2 linked regions of the Anolis sagrei genome follow. The protein of the gene in region 2 purifies or fractionates together with the protein of the main gene of each other region. This does not show direct contact. Links are inferred from orthologs where the notes say so. Each region holds a gene or a part of one and is shown on either strand. Other genes may lie near its edges.

Region 1 (7,476 bases), about 22 Mb from region 2:
TAATCCCACAAACGAACATTACATTTTTATTTATATAGATTATTATTATTATTATTATTATTATTATTAATTAAGATCACATGGTTCACAGGATCCAGCTGGCCTGGATGATCTACGGATGGAACAAATCAAGAACTTTGGTCCCAAAGCAAGGCGCACGCACCCAAATACCAGGGAGTCACTCTGGACCGTGCTCTTACCTACAAGAAGCACTGCCTGAATATCAAGCAAAAAGTGGGTGCCAGAAACAATATCATACGAAAGCTGACTGGCACAACCTGGGGATCACAACCAGACACAGTGAAGACATCTGCCCTTGCGCTGTGCTACTCTGCTGCTGAGTATGCATGCCCAGTGTGGAACACATCTCACCACACTAAAACAATGGATGTGGCTTGTAATGAGACATGCCGCATTATCACGGTGTGTCTGCGCCCTACACCACTGGAGAAATTACACTGCTTAGCCGGTATTGCACCACCTGACATCCGTCGGGAAGTAGCAGCCAATAGTGGAAGGACCAAGGCAGAGACATCTCCAGCTCATCCCCTGCTTGGGTATCAGCCAGCACGTCAACGACTTAAATCTAGAAATAGTTTTCTAAGATCTACAGAGACACTCGCTGGAACACCTCAGCAAGCAAGAGTCCAAAAGTGGTAGGCTCAAACCCAGCACCTCAACCAATGGCTGATACCAAAGGAGAGACTCCCCCCTGGGCACACAGAAGACTGGGCGACTTGGAAGGCATTGAACAGACTGCGCTCTGGCACCACGAGATGCAGAGCCAACCTTGAGAAATGGGGCTACAAAGTGGAATCCTCAACATGCGAGTGTGGAGAGGAGCAAACCACTGACCACCTGCTGCAATGCAACCTGAGCCCTGCCACATGCACCAGGGAGGACCTCCTTGTAGCAACACCTGAGGCACTCCAAGTGGCCAGATACCCATCAAAGGACATTTAACCAACTACCAAACTCACAAGTTTTGTATTTGTCTGTTTGTTTGCTTTGTTCTGTTAGAAATGTAATATAATGGACTGGTTGCTCTGACACGACAAATAAATAAACAGGATCCAGAATTCCCAAAGGGCATATAACATAAGAAAAATATAGCAGGAGAGGAAAAACTTGGGGATATTACTAAAAATGTAATTAATAATGTTGAATGCTAGTACAATCTGAAAAATTAAATGTGTTGGGCATTACACTATTTTATGAAAAATCCAGAGTTAGAAAGAGGCTCGGCATCAAAGCATTGGAATGTATTTTATGTGAATTACGCACATAATAAAATATTGTTTTAAAAACAAAACTAGAGAAGCCTGTGTTTTCCTATCGTGTCCTATGCCGGTTACTCACCCAACCTATGTGCAATGAACTCATCATGGAGGACCGAGGAGTTGGCATCTATCTGTACCCAGTCTATGGCTGCAAACAAAATAGTACAAAATGAGATAATAGCAATTTGATTAATCATGCTCAAAGTCTTCAATTCGTAGTATTGGACTTTAACATACTGTTTATGTATACATATAAGAATTTGAGTCCCAACATTGAATGTTTGCCGTATATATGCTGAGTCCACTTCGGGATGAGAAGGGTGGAATATAAATGTTTAAAATAAAATAAATTAATAGATAAACAATAAAGAATAGATAAATACCGATGGTGGGAACTTCAGCAATGAACACTCTCCTGATGGAATTAGCTACTCTGGAAAAGAAAAACAGAGAAATATTCATTGTTATTATTATTAGCAGTATTATATGTATTTATATCCTCCAACACAGAACCCCCATGACCACCAGAGTGGGCCACAGCAACGTGTGGCAGGGGCGGCCTGGACGAATTGACACGAATTTTTGACACAATACACCTAACAGTCCAACGAGTGTTCATCACCACTAAAAATACAGCCCCCCCTAGCAGAACAGACTTAAAAACCCCAAAATGCACCATACACACACACTCATATACTCATAAACTCATAAACACACATATAAAAATATACCCAAGCACACACAACTATAAACACACATACATCTGCATACACACACATATATACATGCACAAATATACACATGCACACATACACACACATATAGAAACAAATATGCATATAGACAAGCACACACATATACACACACATATACACAACGGTGGCGCAGTGGGTTAAAGCACTGAGCTGCTGAGCTTGTTGATCGAAAGGTCGCAGTTTCGATTCCGGGGAGCGGCATGAGCTTCCGCTGTCAGCCCTAGATTCTGCCAACTTAGCAGTTCGAAAACATGCAAATGTGAGTAGATCAATAGGTACCGCTCCGACGGGAAGGTAACGGCGCTCCATGCAGTCATGCCGGCCACATGACCTTGGAGGTGTCTACGGACAATGCCGGCTCTTCGGCTTAGAAATGGAGATGAGCACCACACCCCAGAGTCAGACATGACTGGACTTAATGTCAGGGGATGGCATCCTTGAAGTGACTGGACTGACCTTGAGGGAGCTGGGGGTGGTAACGGCCGACAGGGAGCTCCGGCGTAGGCTGGTCCATGAGGTCACGAAGAGTCGGAGACGACTGAACGAATGAACAACAACAACAATGTCAGGGGACTACCTTTACCTTACACATAGGCACACACACACACATATGCAACACATATATACACACATATATACACACAAATACATATATATACAGGAGGGCCACAGCAACGCGTGGCAGGAGACAGCTATAAATAAATAAATCTGTTAGTCTTAAAAATTTTGTCTAAACATTTTGTAGGGGATAATAATAATAATAATATGGGACTATTTCCCAAGCCCAGGAGGTGGCCTGAGACGCCTCCGTGCCTGAGTGGGGCAGCAGAAGCACTCTAGGCCCCGGCTTCCCTCTCCAGACTAGGCCCTGCCCCTCCTCCACACAAGCCCCCGCTCACGCCAAGTCCGTGTTCTCCACGATGAACTTGACGTTCTCGTCGCTGAGCTCCGTGATGCGGACGGTGGGCTGGTTGGCGTAAGGCATGGCTGGCGGGAGACCCAAACAAGGCCGCAAGAGCCTGAAACACCACGGCGCATGCGCAGCAGGAACGAGGCCGGGATTGGCGCGGACGCCGAGAGCCGCGGGGGCTGCTGGGAGACGCCGGCCGCGCTCTCCGCCAATCGGGGAGCAGAGCGGCGCCGACGTCATTTCCAGGCGGCGGTCGGCGGCGAAACAGGGAGGAAGCAAGCAAGGTAGGCCCTCGCTGACTGGAAGGCGGTTCTTCTCCCATTCCAGGCTCCCTTCTCTCTCTCTCTTCCTCTCGAGAGCCTTGTCACACTGCTTTACTATAGCCCGGCTATAATATTATACCTTGGCAACGTTTTGAGGGGTTTTGTGGTGTGGCGAGGCCTTGGAATGCCTGAGAGGCCCCTATTGCCGGCCTCATTGCCCTCTCGCATGTTGCCATGGCAGCCAAAGCGGGATAACAGTGCTTATAGGTATTGTCGAAGGCTTTCATGGCTGGAATCACTAGGTTCTTGTGGTTTTTTTCGGGCTATAGAGCCATGTTCTAGAGGCATTTTCTCCTGACGTTTCGCCTGCATCTATGGCAAGCCTCCTCAGAGGTAGTGAAGTCTGTTGGAATTAGGACAATGGGTTTATATATCTGTGGAATGGCTTGGGTGGGGCAAAGAGCTCTTTTCTGCTGGAGCTAGGTGTGAATGTTTCAAATGACCACCTTCATTAGCATTTGAAGGCCTGGCTGAGCCTGGGAAAATCTTTTGTTGACAGGTGTTAAGATGTGCCTGGTTGTTTCCTCTCTGCTGTTTTGCTGTTGTAATTTTAGAGTTTTTTAATACTGGTAGCCAGATTTTGTTCATTTTCATCGTCTCTTCCTTTCTGTTGAAATTGTCCACATGCTTGTGGATTTCAATGGCTTCTCTGTGTAAAACTCTAAAATTACAACAGCAAAACAGCAGAGAGGAAACAACCAGGCACATCTTAACACCTCTCAACAGGGGATTTTCCCAGGCTCAGGTTGCATTGCAGCAGGTGTTCAGTGGTTTGCTTCTCTCCACACTCGCATGTCGTGGATTCCACTTTGTAGCCCCATTTCTGAAGGTTGGCTCTGCATCTCGTGGTGCCAGAGCTCAGTCTGTTCAGCACCTTCCAAGTCGCCCAGTCTTCTGTGTGCCCAGGGGGAAGTCTCTCATCTGGTATCAGCCATTGGTTGAGGTTCTGGGTTTGGGACTGCCATTTTTGGACTCTCGCTTGCTGAGGTGTTCCAGTGAGTGTCTCTGTAGATCTTAGAAAACTATTTCTAGATTTAAGTCGTTGACGTGCTGGCTGATACCCAAACAGGGGATGGGCTGGAGATGTCTGCCTTGGTCCTTTCACTATTGGCTGCTACTTCCCGGCGGATGTCAGGTGGTGCAATACCGGCTAGACAGTGTAATTTCTCCAGTAGTGTAGGGCGCAGGCACCCTGTGATAATGCGGCATGTCTCATTAAGAGCCACATCCACTGCTTTAGTGTGGTGAGATGTGTTCCACACTGGGCATGCATACTCAGCAGCAGAGTAGCACAGCGCAAGGGCAGATGTCTTCACTGTATCTGGTTGTGATCCCCAGGTTGTGCCAGTCAGCTTTCGTATGATATTGTTTCTAGCACCCACTTTTTGCTTGATGTTCAGGCAGTGCTTCTTGTAGGTAAGAGCATGGTCCAAAGTGACTCCCAGATATTTGGGTACGCTGCAATGCTCCAGTGGGATTCCTTCCCAGGTGATCTTCAGAGCTCGGGATGCTTGTCTGTTCTTGAGATGAAAGGCACATGTCTGTGTTTTAGATGGGTTGGGGATCAGTTGGTTTTCCTTGTAATAGGCAGTAAGAGCACCTAGAGCTTCAGAGAGTATCTGTTCAACCATCTCAAAGCTCCCTGCTTGAGCAGTAATGGCACGATCATCAGCGTAGATGAAACTCTCTGTCCCTTCTGGCAGTGGCTGGTCATTTGTGTAGATGTTGAACATGGATGGAGCAAGCACGCTCCCCTGAGGCAGTCCGTTCTTCTGTTTCCGCCATCTGCTTCTCTGACCCTGGAACTCAACAAAGAAGCTCCTGTTTTGTAGCAGGTTTCCTATGAGGCTGGTGAGGTGGTCGTCCTTTGTGATATTATGCTACCCCTACATACTACCCCTACATACAAGCAGCGTTTAAGCTCTTTGAGGCAAAATCCATAGCACAAATGATGTATGGAGCCCTTCTCAAACTATGCCCCTCTGGAGCAAGTATAATCAAAATTAGGTTCTTGTGGTTTTTTTCGGGCTATATGGCCATGTTCTAGAAGCATTCTCTCCTGACGTTTCGCCTGCATCTATGGCAAGCATCCTCAGAGGTACTGAGGTCTGTTAGAACTAGGAAAAAGGGTTTATATATCTGTGGAATGACCAGGGTGAGACAAAGAACTCTTGTCTGCTGGAGCTAGGTGTGAATGTTTCAAATGACCACCTTCATTAGCATTTGAAGGCCTGGCTGAGCCTGGGGGAATCTTTTGTTGAGAGGTGTTAAGATGTGCCTGGTTGTTTCCTCTCTGCTGTTTTGCTGTTGTAATTTTAGAGTTTTTTTAATACTATTGTCGAAGGCTTTCATGGCTGGAATCACTAGGTTCTTGTGGGTTTTTTCGGGCTATAGGGCCATGTTCTAGAGGCATTTTCTCCTGACGTTTCGCCTGCATCTACGGCAAGCATCCTCAGAGGTAGTGAGGTCTGTTGGAATTAGGACCATGGGTTTATATATCTGTGGACGGGCTGGGGTGGGGCAAAGAGCTTTTCTCTGCTGGAGCTAGGTGTGAATGTTTCAACTGACCACCTTCAGTAGCATTTGAAGGCCTGGCTGAGCCTGGGGGAATCTTTTGTTGAGAGGTGTTAAGATGTGCCTGGTTGTTTCCTCTCTGCTGTTTTGCTGTAGTAATTTTTGAGTTTTTTAATACTGGTAGCCAGATTTTGTTCATTTTCATGGTCTCTTCCTTTCTGTTGAAATTGTCCACATGCTTGTGGATTTCAATGGCTTCTCTGTGTAAAACTCTAAAATTACAACAGCAAAACAGCAAAGGAGCAGATTGTTTGTGAGGGAGAAACTCATTAAAATGGGTCATAAAATATACTTTCATACAGGTGAGGAAATATACTCTGAGGACAAAAACTGTTGAGGGGGAGCAACTGTGTATGATAGTATGGCTACTCTCCAAAAGCCAGGTTTTGAGATCCCTCTTGAAAGTTTTTAAGGTGGGTTCCTTCCTAAGCTTGGATCTAGTGCCTTGATCCAAGGAAGTCATGCTCCCCCTCTATTCTATTCTGCCTTGGTCAGACCACACTTGGACTCACACTGTTTCCAATTCTGGGCACCACAATTGAAGGGAGATGTTGACTCTAAGCTGGAATGTGTCCAGAGGAGGGCAACTCAAATAATCAAGTGTCCGGAGAACAAGCCCTGTGAGGAGTGGCTTAAAGAGCTGGGCATGTTTAACCTGAAGAAATGAAGGCTGAGAGGAGACATGATAGCCATGTATAAATATGTGAGCGGAAGTCATAGGAAGGAGGGAGCAAGCTTGTTTTCTGCTTCCCTGGAGACTGGGACACAATGGAGCAATGGCTTCAAACTACATGAAAGGAGATTCCACCTGAACGTTAGGAAGAGCTTCCTGACTATGAGAGCTGTTCAGCAGTGGAACTCTCTGTCCCAGAGTGTGGTGGAGCCTCCTTTTTAGAAGCTTTTAAGCAGAGATTAGATTTGAGATATAAACAAACTATCTATGGATATTGCAGCTGTAATCTGCTATTGCTGAAAACCTCTTTCTCATTATCTTAGAGATCATTATTCAGGAATAGGTGGCCTGTGTATGTGTACTCCCTGCATTATTATTACTAGACTGCTTATGGCTATAGGGGCATTTTGTGAGTAAATATATACCGTATTTGCTTCAATCAGAGAAGGCTTGAGGCATTGCAGAGCTACAGCCCTCGGGATTCCATAGCATTGAGCCAGGGCAGTTAATGTGGATTCATTCTACAGCATTGATCCGCCCCAAGGTTTTGTTTTCAATTGCTGAAGCTTTGGTGCGCCAACAGCTTTGTTTTTAAATAAGGAATTCTAAGCACCGGGACTGTGGCACAGCTGTCTGAGTGTCAGCTGCATTAAGATCACTTCTGGCCACAAGGTCATGAGTTCGAAGCCAACCCGGGTCGGAGTGAGCTTCTGACCAATTGTGTAGCTTGTTGTTGACCTTTGCAATCCGAAAGACAGTTGCATCTGTCAAGTAGGAAAATTAGGTACCATCTATGTGTGGGGAGCCTAATTTAACAAAATTTACGAGGTCATAAAAAAGACTCCAGCAAAAGCATGCGGGGAATGTGGAAGTACTTCATCAGTGTTGCAGATAAACGATGAAAGCGACAGCTCCCCTGGTGGCCAGAAAAGTTAAATAGCTTCTCACTGTTTGTCTATAT
Region 2 (7,824 bases):
CTGCACCTGAGCAAGGACAGGTCAACATGTACATACACACCCAGCTCATTTTGGGGGGTTCACCTGCTTTTTGTTACTCTTCAGCATGTACTGCCACTGAATAAAGAGAACCACAACAGTCAGACCAGTGGGAAAAGGCTTAGCTGGTTCCCTCTAGTTGATGAGTCTCACTGAGGATCTCCATAAAAACCTTCTCTGAAGGTTTTCAAGGACAGGCTAGAGGGCCATCTGTCGGGTTGGACTGGATGATCCTTTGGGTCTCTTCCAACTCTAGGATTCTATTGATCTATGACTTAGAGCAGTGGTTCTCATCCTGTGAGTCCCCAGGTGTTATGGCCTACAACTCCCAAAAATCCCAGCCAGTTTAGCAGCCACTGACTTATAGGGTTGGACTGGATGGCCCTTAGGGTCCCTTCCACATAGCTGAATAAAATCCCACATTATCTGCTTTGAACTAGAATATATGGCAGTGTGGATTCGGATAACCCAGTTCAAAGCAGATATTCTGGTTTATATGGTTGTGTGGAAGAGACCTATGATTTAGAGGGGTAGACTGGATAGTGCTGGGTTCTCTTCCAACTGTAAGATTCTATGACCTCTATATATGTATCTTTCTTTCTGTCTTTTAGTGGATTGGACTGGATAGCCCTCGATTCTCTTCCAACTGTAAGATTCTATCTATTTATTTATTTATTTATTTGCTGCATTTGTTAACCGCCGTTCTCAGCCCTAGGGCGACTCACGGCGGTGTACAACATATAAAAGACAATTTACAATAAGCCATAACGACAAAAAACAATATATCACTAATACACAATTATCTAATTACACTAAAAAATCCGCTCCGTCTTATAGTAGAATCATAACCAATCTCGTAATCCATATTCCGTTCCAGTTGTCATTTCCAGTTACTGTAGCACTCAGTTAAATGCCTTCTCAAATAGCCATGTCTTGAGGCTCTTACGGAAGGACATAAGGGAGGGCGCCTGTCTGATGTCAGCAGGGAGGGTGTTCCACAGCCGGGGGGCCACCACCGAGAAGGCCCTCTCTCTCGTCCCCGCCAGACGTGCCTGTGAAGCAGGCGGGATCGAGAGAAGGGCCTCCCCGGACGATCTCAAGGTCCTCGTGGGCTCATAGGCCGAGATGCGGTCCGAAAGGTATTTTGGGCCGGAACCGTTTAGGGCTTTGTAGGATAACACCAGCACCTTAAATTATCTATCTATCTATGAATGATTGGGTCAGACTGGATGGCCCATTCATTCTATCTATCTATGAATGAAAGTGTCAGACTGGATGGCCCATTCATTCTATCTATCTATCTATCTATCTATGAATGAAAGGGTCAGACTGGATGGACCATTCTATCTATCTATCTATCTTTGAATGAAAGGGTTAGACTGGATGGCCCATTCTATCTATCTATCTATCTATGAATGAAAGGGTCAGACTGGATGGCCCATTCTATCTATCTATCTATCTATCTATGAATGAATGAAAGGGTCAGACTGGATGGCCCATTCTATCTATCTATCTATCTATCTATCAATGAATGAAAGGGTCAGACTGGATGGCCCATTCTATCTATCTATCTATCTATCTATGAATGAAAGGGTCAGACTGGATGGCCCATTTTATCTATCTATCTATCTATCTATCTATGAATGAAAGGGTCAGACTGGATGGCCCATTCTATCTATCTATCTATCAATCAATGAAAGGGTCAGACTGGATGGCCCATTCTATCTATCTATCTATGAATGAAAGGGTCAGACTGGATGGTCCATTCTATCTATCTATCTATCTATGAATGAAAGGGTCAGACTGGATGGTCCATTCTATCTATCTATCTATCTATCTATGAATGAAAGGGTCAGACTGGATGGCCCTTGGGGGTCCCTTCCAACTCCAGCATTAATTATTTATTTATTATTTATTTATTTACCTTACTTATATACCGCTGTTCTCAGCCCGAAGGTGACTCACAGCGGTTCACAACAAATACGAACAGCAAAAATTCAGTGCTACAGTATAAAAACAGTTCACAGCGTAACACATTACATAATTAATAAAGTTACTACAATACCCATTCACTGTCGTCTCGTCATCAAAAACATGTTCCAGATTTGTCATCCATTGTTCCATTCCAGTGTTCATTAACCAATCATTGCACTAATTATTCGAACGCCTGCTCAAACAGCCAGGTCTTCACTTTTTTGCGGAATACCATTAGAGATGGTGCTAATCTAATGTTCATAGGAAGGGCGTTCCACAGCTGAGGAGCCACCACCGAGAAGGCCCTATCTCTCATCCCCGCCAGCCGTGCTTGAGAAGCAGGCGGGATCGAGCGCAGGGCCTCCCCGGAAGATCTCAAAGTCCTGGTGGGTTCATAGGCAAAGATGCGGTCGGATAGGTAGGATTCTATATTTATTTATTTCTCTAAACTATTCTCTTCTTCCATCAGCACCCACTGGATCACTCTCAACATCACTCTGAGTGTGACAGATGAGGCTCATGCTCGTTTGTGTCATCCACAGAGGTCCAGAGGGCCTTTGGGCAGAATCAGAGCCAGGGCTGGAGCAGAAGTGGGCAAGTGATGGCTGGGGTTCTGTCAATAAGCAATGAAAAGGAAAGGGCCTGAGGCCATTAGGAATTATGGGAATTGAAGTCCAAAACACCTGGATAGAGGGCCTAAGTTGGCTCAGGCCTGTGTCAGAGAGAGAAGGAGGCCTTCTAGGTTTGAGGAAGGGTCTTCCTTTCGGACTGCAACTCCCAGAATCCCCCAGTCGCCCCTTCTGGCAACTGCAGCCCGAGAAGGCGCTTTCCCCCTTCATTTCCTTCCTCTGGCGTTCCCCACCGGTCTCCCCTCCAAGTCCCATCCAAGGCCGACCCGCCTCAGCTCCCAACCCCAAGCAAAGCCTGGGACCTTGAGAGGAAGGGGAAGAAGCCTCACAGCAGCCACACAAACCACAACAAGACTAACGGCAACAGGCTGTTCCTCTTACCGGCGGCGGCTGAGCTCCTTCCTCTTCCCACTTCCGCCTCCTGTAAGTCGTGGGTCATGTGACAGGCAGGCGAGGCGTCACATGACCCTCCGCCTTTCTGGGGCAAAGTTCGAGAGAGGCCAAAGCGGACCAATCAGCGGCGCCCTGCGTTTCCCAGGCTGCCTTGCGCGGGAGAGGAGGGCAAGATGGCGCCGGTGGAACACGTTGTGGCCGACGCGGGGGCTTTTCTGAAGGCAGCCCCGCTCCAGGTGGGTCTCACAGGCCTCCAGGTGGGCTCTAAGCTGGGAGGCGTCCAGAGAAGGGCCGCCAAAAGGGCCAGAGGCCTGGAAGTCAGGAATTCCTCTCAGGAAGAGCTGAGGGAGCTGCAGGGAGTGTTTGCCTTGGAGGAGAGAAGGGGGCCCGGCAGCCATGTTTCCTTATTTGGAAGAGGAGAAGGCAAGGCTTGTTCCCTGGGTTCGCAGTTTGCTCGTGACGCCCACATATATTTCTCCATGCCTTCACAAGCAGCCTCAGCTAAGGAATGAATTCCTGGAGCATATAATGGGCTGTATGAGGCTGTATGTGGAGGCCGTGACAGACCTTGTATTTCTAGGTGCAAAGATTACTGCAGATGCAGACTGTGGCCAGGAAATCAGAAGACGCTTACTTCTTGGGAGGAGAGCAATGTCCAGTCTCAGTAAAATAGTAAAGAGTAGAGACATCAGACTGGCCACAAAGATCCGCCTAATCAAAGCCATGGTATTCCCTGTAGTCATCTATGGATGTGAGAGCTGGACCTTAGGGAAGGCTGAGCAAAGGAAGAGAGATGCTTTTGAACTGTGGTGTTGGAGGAAAGTTCTGAGAGTGCCTTGGACTGCGAGAAGATCCAACCAGTCCATCCTCCAGGAAATAAAGCCCAGCTGCTCACTGGAGGGAAGGATACTAGAGACAAAGTTGAAGTTCTTTGGCCACATTATGAGGAGACAGCAAAGCCTAGAGAAGACAATTATGCTGGGGAAAGTGGAAGGCAAAAGGAAGAGGGGCCGACCAAGGGCAAGATGGATGGATGGCATCCTTGAAGTGACTGGACTGACCTTGAAGGAGCTGGGGGTGGTGACGGCCGACAGGGAGCTCTGGCATGGGCTGGTCCATGAGGTCACGAAGAGTCGGAGACGACTGAATGAATGAACAACAACAGCAACATGAGGAAAACATATTGAAATAGGTGTGCTTGCCATCAAGGGTCCTCATCTGGGGATCATAGAATCCTAGAGTTGGAAGAGACCTCATGGGCCATCCAGTCCAACCCAATTCTGCCAAAAAGCAGGAAAATTGCATTCAAAGCACCTCTGACAGTTGGCCATCTATCCTCTGCTTAAAAGCTTTCAAAGAAGGAGCCTCCACCACACTCCAGGGCAGAGAGTTCCACTGCTGAACAGCTCTCACAGTCAGGAAGTTCTTCCTCATGTTCAGATGGAATCGCCTTTCTTGTAGTTTGAAGCCATTGTTCCACGTCCTAGTCTCCAGGGCAGCAGAAAACAAGTTTGCTCCCTCTTCCCTATGACTTCCCTATGACTTCCTCTCAGATACTTGATGCATGACTATCATGTCTCCTCTCAGCCCTCTCTTCTTCAGCTCTTTAAGCTGCTCCTCATAGGGCTTGTTCCCCAGACCCTTGATCATTTTAGGCACCCTCCTCTGGACACATTCCAGCTTTTCAATATCTCTCTTCAATTGTGGTGCCCAGAATTGGACACAATATTCCAGGTGTGATCTAACCAAGGCAGAATAGAGGGGGAGCATGACTTCCCTAGATCTAGACACTATACTGCTATTGATGCAGGCCAAAATCCCATTGGGTTCAGGTTACCTAAAGGATTGCCTTCTCCCATACAATCCGTCCCACTTACTTTGTTCCTCTGGGAGGTGGTAGCTCCACTAGCCAAAACCTGACTGGAATAACCTGCCAGTAGAGCCCTGACAGCTGGATCAGCTGTCGGAATTAAAGATACAAATGAAGAACTATCTCTTCCAGCAGGCCTACCCAGTTTTAATTGTGAATTTTAAATTCTACTGAATTCTTGGTTTTTGTTTTGTGTGTTTTAAAACATATTTTATAGAGGTATGTTATTTTATATAATGTTTTAAAATTATTATATGCTTGTTTATGTTTTAGTAATCCTGTAACCCACCTTGAGCCAAATTAAAACTATTTTACTGACATATTATTATTATTATTATTATTATTACTATTATTCAAACTGCAAGGAAAGAGATTCCATTGAAACCTAAAGATGAACTTTCTGATGTTTAGAACCATTCAATGGCAGCATACCGACTGCCTGGGAGTCCAGTGGAGTCTCCTTCCTTTGCTGGAGGTTTTGACTTAGGGGCTGCGGAAGTGCTTTGATTGTGTCTTCCAGGCTAGCAAAAAGAAGGGGTTGGATGACCTTTGAGGATTCCTTCCAGCTTTAGGGTTCTGTGATTCTACCATGAGCTGAGTGTGAGCCAATGCTGGGATTCAGCAGCAGATAAAGCCCAATCGTGGCACAAGAACTGGGTGGCCCTTTTGGGGACCCCTCCCCATAGGATACAGACTGTCGGGGAGCCTGGCTGAGTCTTTTTCCTTCTCCTGGGGGCTTTAAACAGAGGCTGGATGTCCATCTCTCAGGGGGCTTGGATCGTGCCTCCCTGCCTAGCAGAAAGAAGGGAGTTGATGGTCTTTGGTGATCCTTTCCACTTCTAGTGGGACATTATAGACCACTTGGGAATCCTAAAGAGTTTGCTTTTCTGGGATGTTTTTGGGTGGAGCCTTCCTCGGCGGTACCCCCCTAACCCTTTCCCTCTCTCTGTGCAGGACATCGGCCAAAACGTCTACACTGTGCGGGAGGTGGTGGCTGAGATTCGGGACAAGGAGACCAAGCGTCGCCTGGCAGTCCTTCCTTATCAGCTCAACTTCAAACAGCCCTTCCCTGAATACATCCGCCTGGGTAAGCCCCACTTGCAGACCTACTGCTTTTGCTCCCAGATTGCCATCCATCTTGAAGGATGTTTGGAATACAAGACTTATGCAGTGGAACCTTGGCTTAAGAGTGTCCCAAGTTGAGAACATTTTGAGTTAAGAACTGTCAATTGAGTTGAGAGCATATTGAGTTAAGAACTGTCAATTGGCCTGTGTTTGCTTTGACATACAAGCAGCATTTTGAGTTAAGAGCCAGCACCAGAGGAAGTGCTAACGCAAGAGTTCAGGGCTTTAGGGCTTCAAGGGAGCAACCTTCTTGCTCTGTCTGTCTGCTTTGGGAGATTGCTATCCGCTTTGCTCTTGTCCACTTTGAGGAACTTTGGGTTTGTTGATTTTGTGTGTTTTTAATAAATTTTAATTCCTGATCTGTTTGGCTTCATAAAGAGTGAGAGGGAGGGAAGGTGGGTGGAATGAGGAGGAAGAAGAAAAGGATGCTTCTGCCTCTTTACTTGGTGCTTTGGCTTCTTTGCCACAACTTTGTATTGTCATGGAACGAATTAGACTCTTAAATCAAGGTATCGATGCATAAAGGTACAGGGATTGCATCCCAAATCCTCTGGAGGCCGCTTATTTGGACTCTTGGCAAACAGGTGGCCTCTAGAGCCTCAGTCATTCAGAAATCTTGCTCATTTGGGGCAGCCATAACTTCCTTATATAAGATACTAGTCTCTAAAAGTTCCTTTTTGGCCTTGGCAAGTTCTGTATGCTGCATTTTCTGCTACCTTGGTTTTATTGGGCACAACTTTGGTCATGTGTTTTCTGTTACACAAGCCTCCGCATTGACTGTAGCTCAAGTCATAAATATTTATTTTGATAATTCCCAAAGAGAGAGATAGGGCCATATCCCTGAGCAAGCATCGTTAGCCTCTTCTCTTCTTCCTTGGCCTTTTGGCTGGAAAGCATGGGACTATCAAACTACTGCTCTGTATATGGATTCAATGACGGAATGCCATTTTCTCTCCCTTTCTTTAGTGACCGAGTTTTCCAAGAAGACGGGTGACTATCCCAGCCTTTCGGCTACAGACTTAAAGGTTCTGGCTTTGACTTACCAGCTGGAAGCTGAGAATGTTGGTATTGTTCACCTGAAGACGGAACCTGAGCAGAAGGTGGGAGAAGCAGACGCTTTCATATCTATGCTTGCCTCCTCAGTGTGCAAAATGCACATTTATACTCCAATTAACCTGTTTTTTAGATGACCCCCCAAAAGTATTTTTACTTTTCTTGCAAATGATAATATTATATGTATTTTGATAGTGTTGTGTTTTAACTGTGTTGTATTCTGCCTTGAGCTGCAAGGAGAGGCAGAGTATTCTTATTATTATAATTATAAATGAAACATACTGAATATCAGGGTACATCTCTTTGGTTTGCCAGTGACCTTTGAAAACGGATGGGTATGTTTTGTGGTGTGAGCTGGGGAAGGCATTTAATTTCATTGTGCAACAACACAATGAAAATAAAACTTTTCTATTCTATTTTGAAAGGAAGCTAGGACCAGGGATTTCATTGATTTGTCCTGCCCAAAAGGCCTCCTGACATGATACCTTTTATAAATGATTTTGAGGGGAATAAATAGATGGGTATCGTGGAGTAATAAATATTATTATCCTTATTATTATAGATGAAAAATCCAAAGGAACCTAGAACCAGGGATTCCAATGATGAGATGCTCTATGTGGCCTTGCACAAATGTCTACCTTTTATAAATGACTTTAAGGCAATGGTTCTCAACCTGGGGGTTGCGACTCCAGAGGGGTCGATGGGCTGTTTCAGAGGAGTCGCGTCACCTCCTCCTTCGGCCCCACCCTCTCCGCCTCTCCA

Evidence for each region.
Region 1: the proteins of WWP2 (region 2) and POLR2C purify together in Homo sapiens (affinity purification with mass spectrometry; 3 studies listed by BioGRID and IntAct, with this or other methods). This does not show direct contact. The link is inferred for Anolis sagrei from reciprocal best matches to the Homo sapiens genes WWP2 and POLR2C.

What each region holds. Positions count from the first base shown.
Region 1 is NC_090028.1:6,441,030-6,448,505, reverse strand, and holds the start of POLR2C (DNA-directed RNA polymerase II subunit RPB3), read right to left. Parts: upstream 3,092-7,476; 5' UTR 3,074-3,091; coding exon 2,935-3,073; intron 1,714-2,934; coding exon of another isoform or gene 1,709-1,713; coding exon 1,664-1,708; intron 1,429-1,663; coding exon 1,360-1,428; intron 1-1,359. UniProt on the Homo sapiens protein: Core component of RNA polymerase II (Pol II), a DNA-dependent RNA polymerase which synthesizes mRNA precursors and many functional non-coding RNAs using the four ribonucleoside triphosphates as substrates.
Region 2 is NC_090028.1:28,882,252-28,890,075, reverse strand, and holds the start of WWP2 (NEDD4-like E3 ubiquitin-protein ligase WWP2), read right to left. Parts: upstream 3,079-7,824; 5' UTR 3,003-3,078; intron 1-3,002. Other genes in the region: RNA-binding protein NOB1, read left to right, coding at 3,188-3,250, 5,839-5,971, 6,976-7,109. UniProt on the Homo sapiens protein: E3 ubiquitin-protein ligase which accepts ubiquitin from an E2 ubiquitin-conjugating enzyme in the form of a thioester and then directly transfers the ubiquitin to targeted substrates.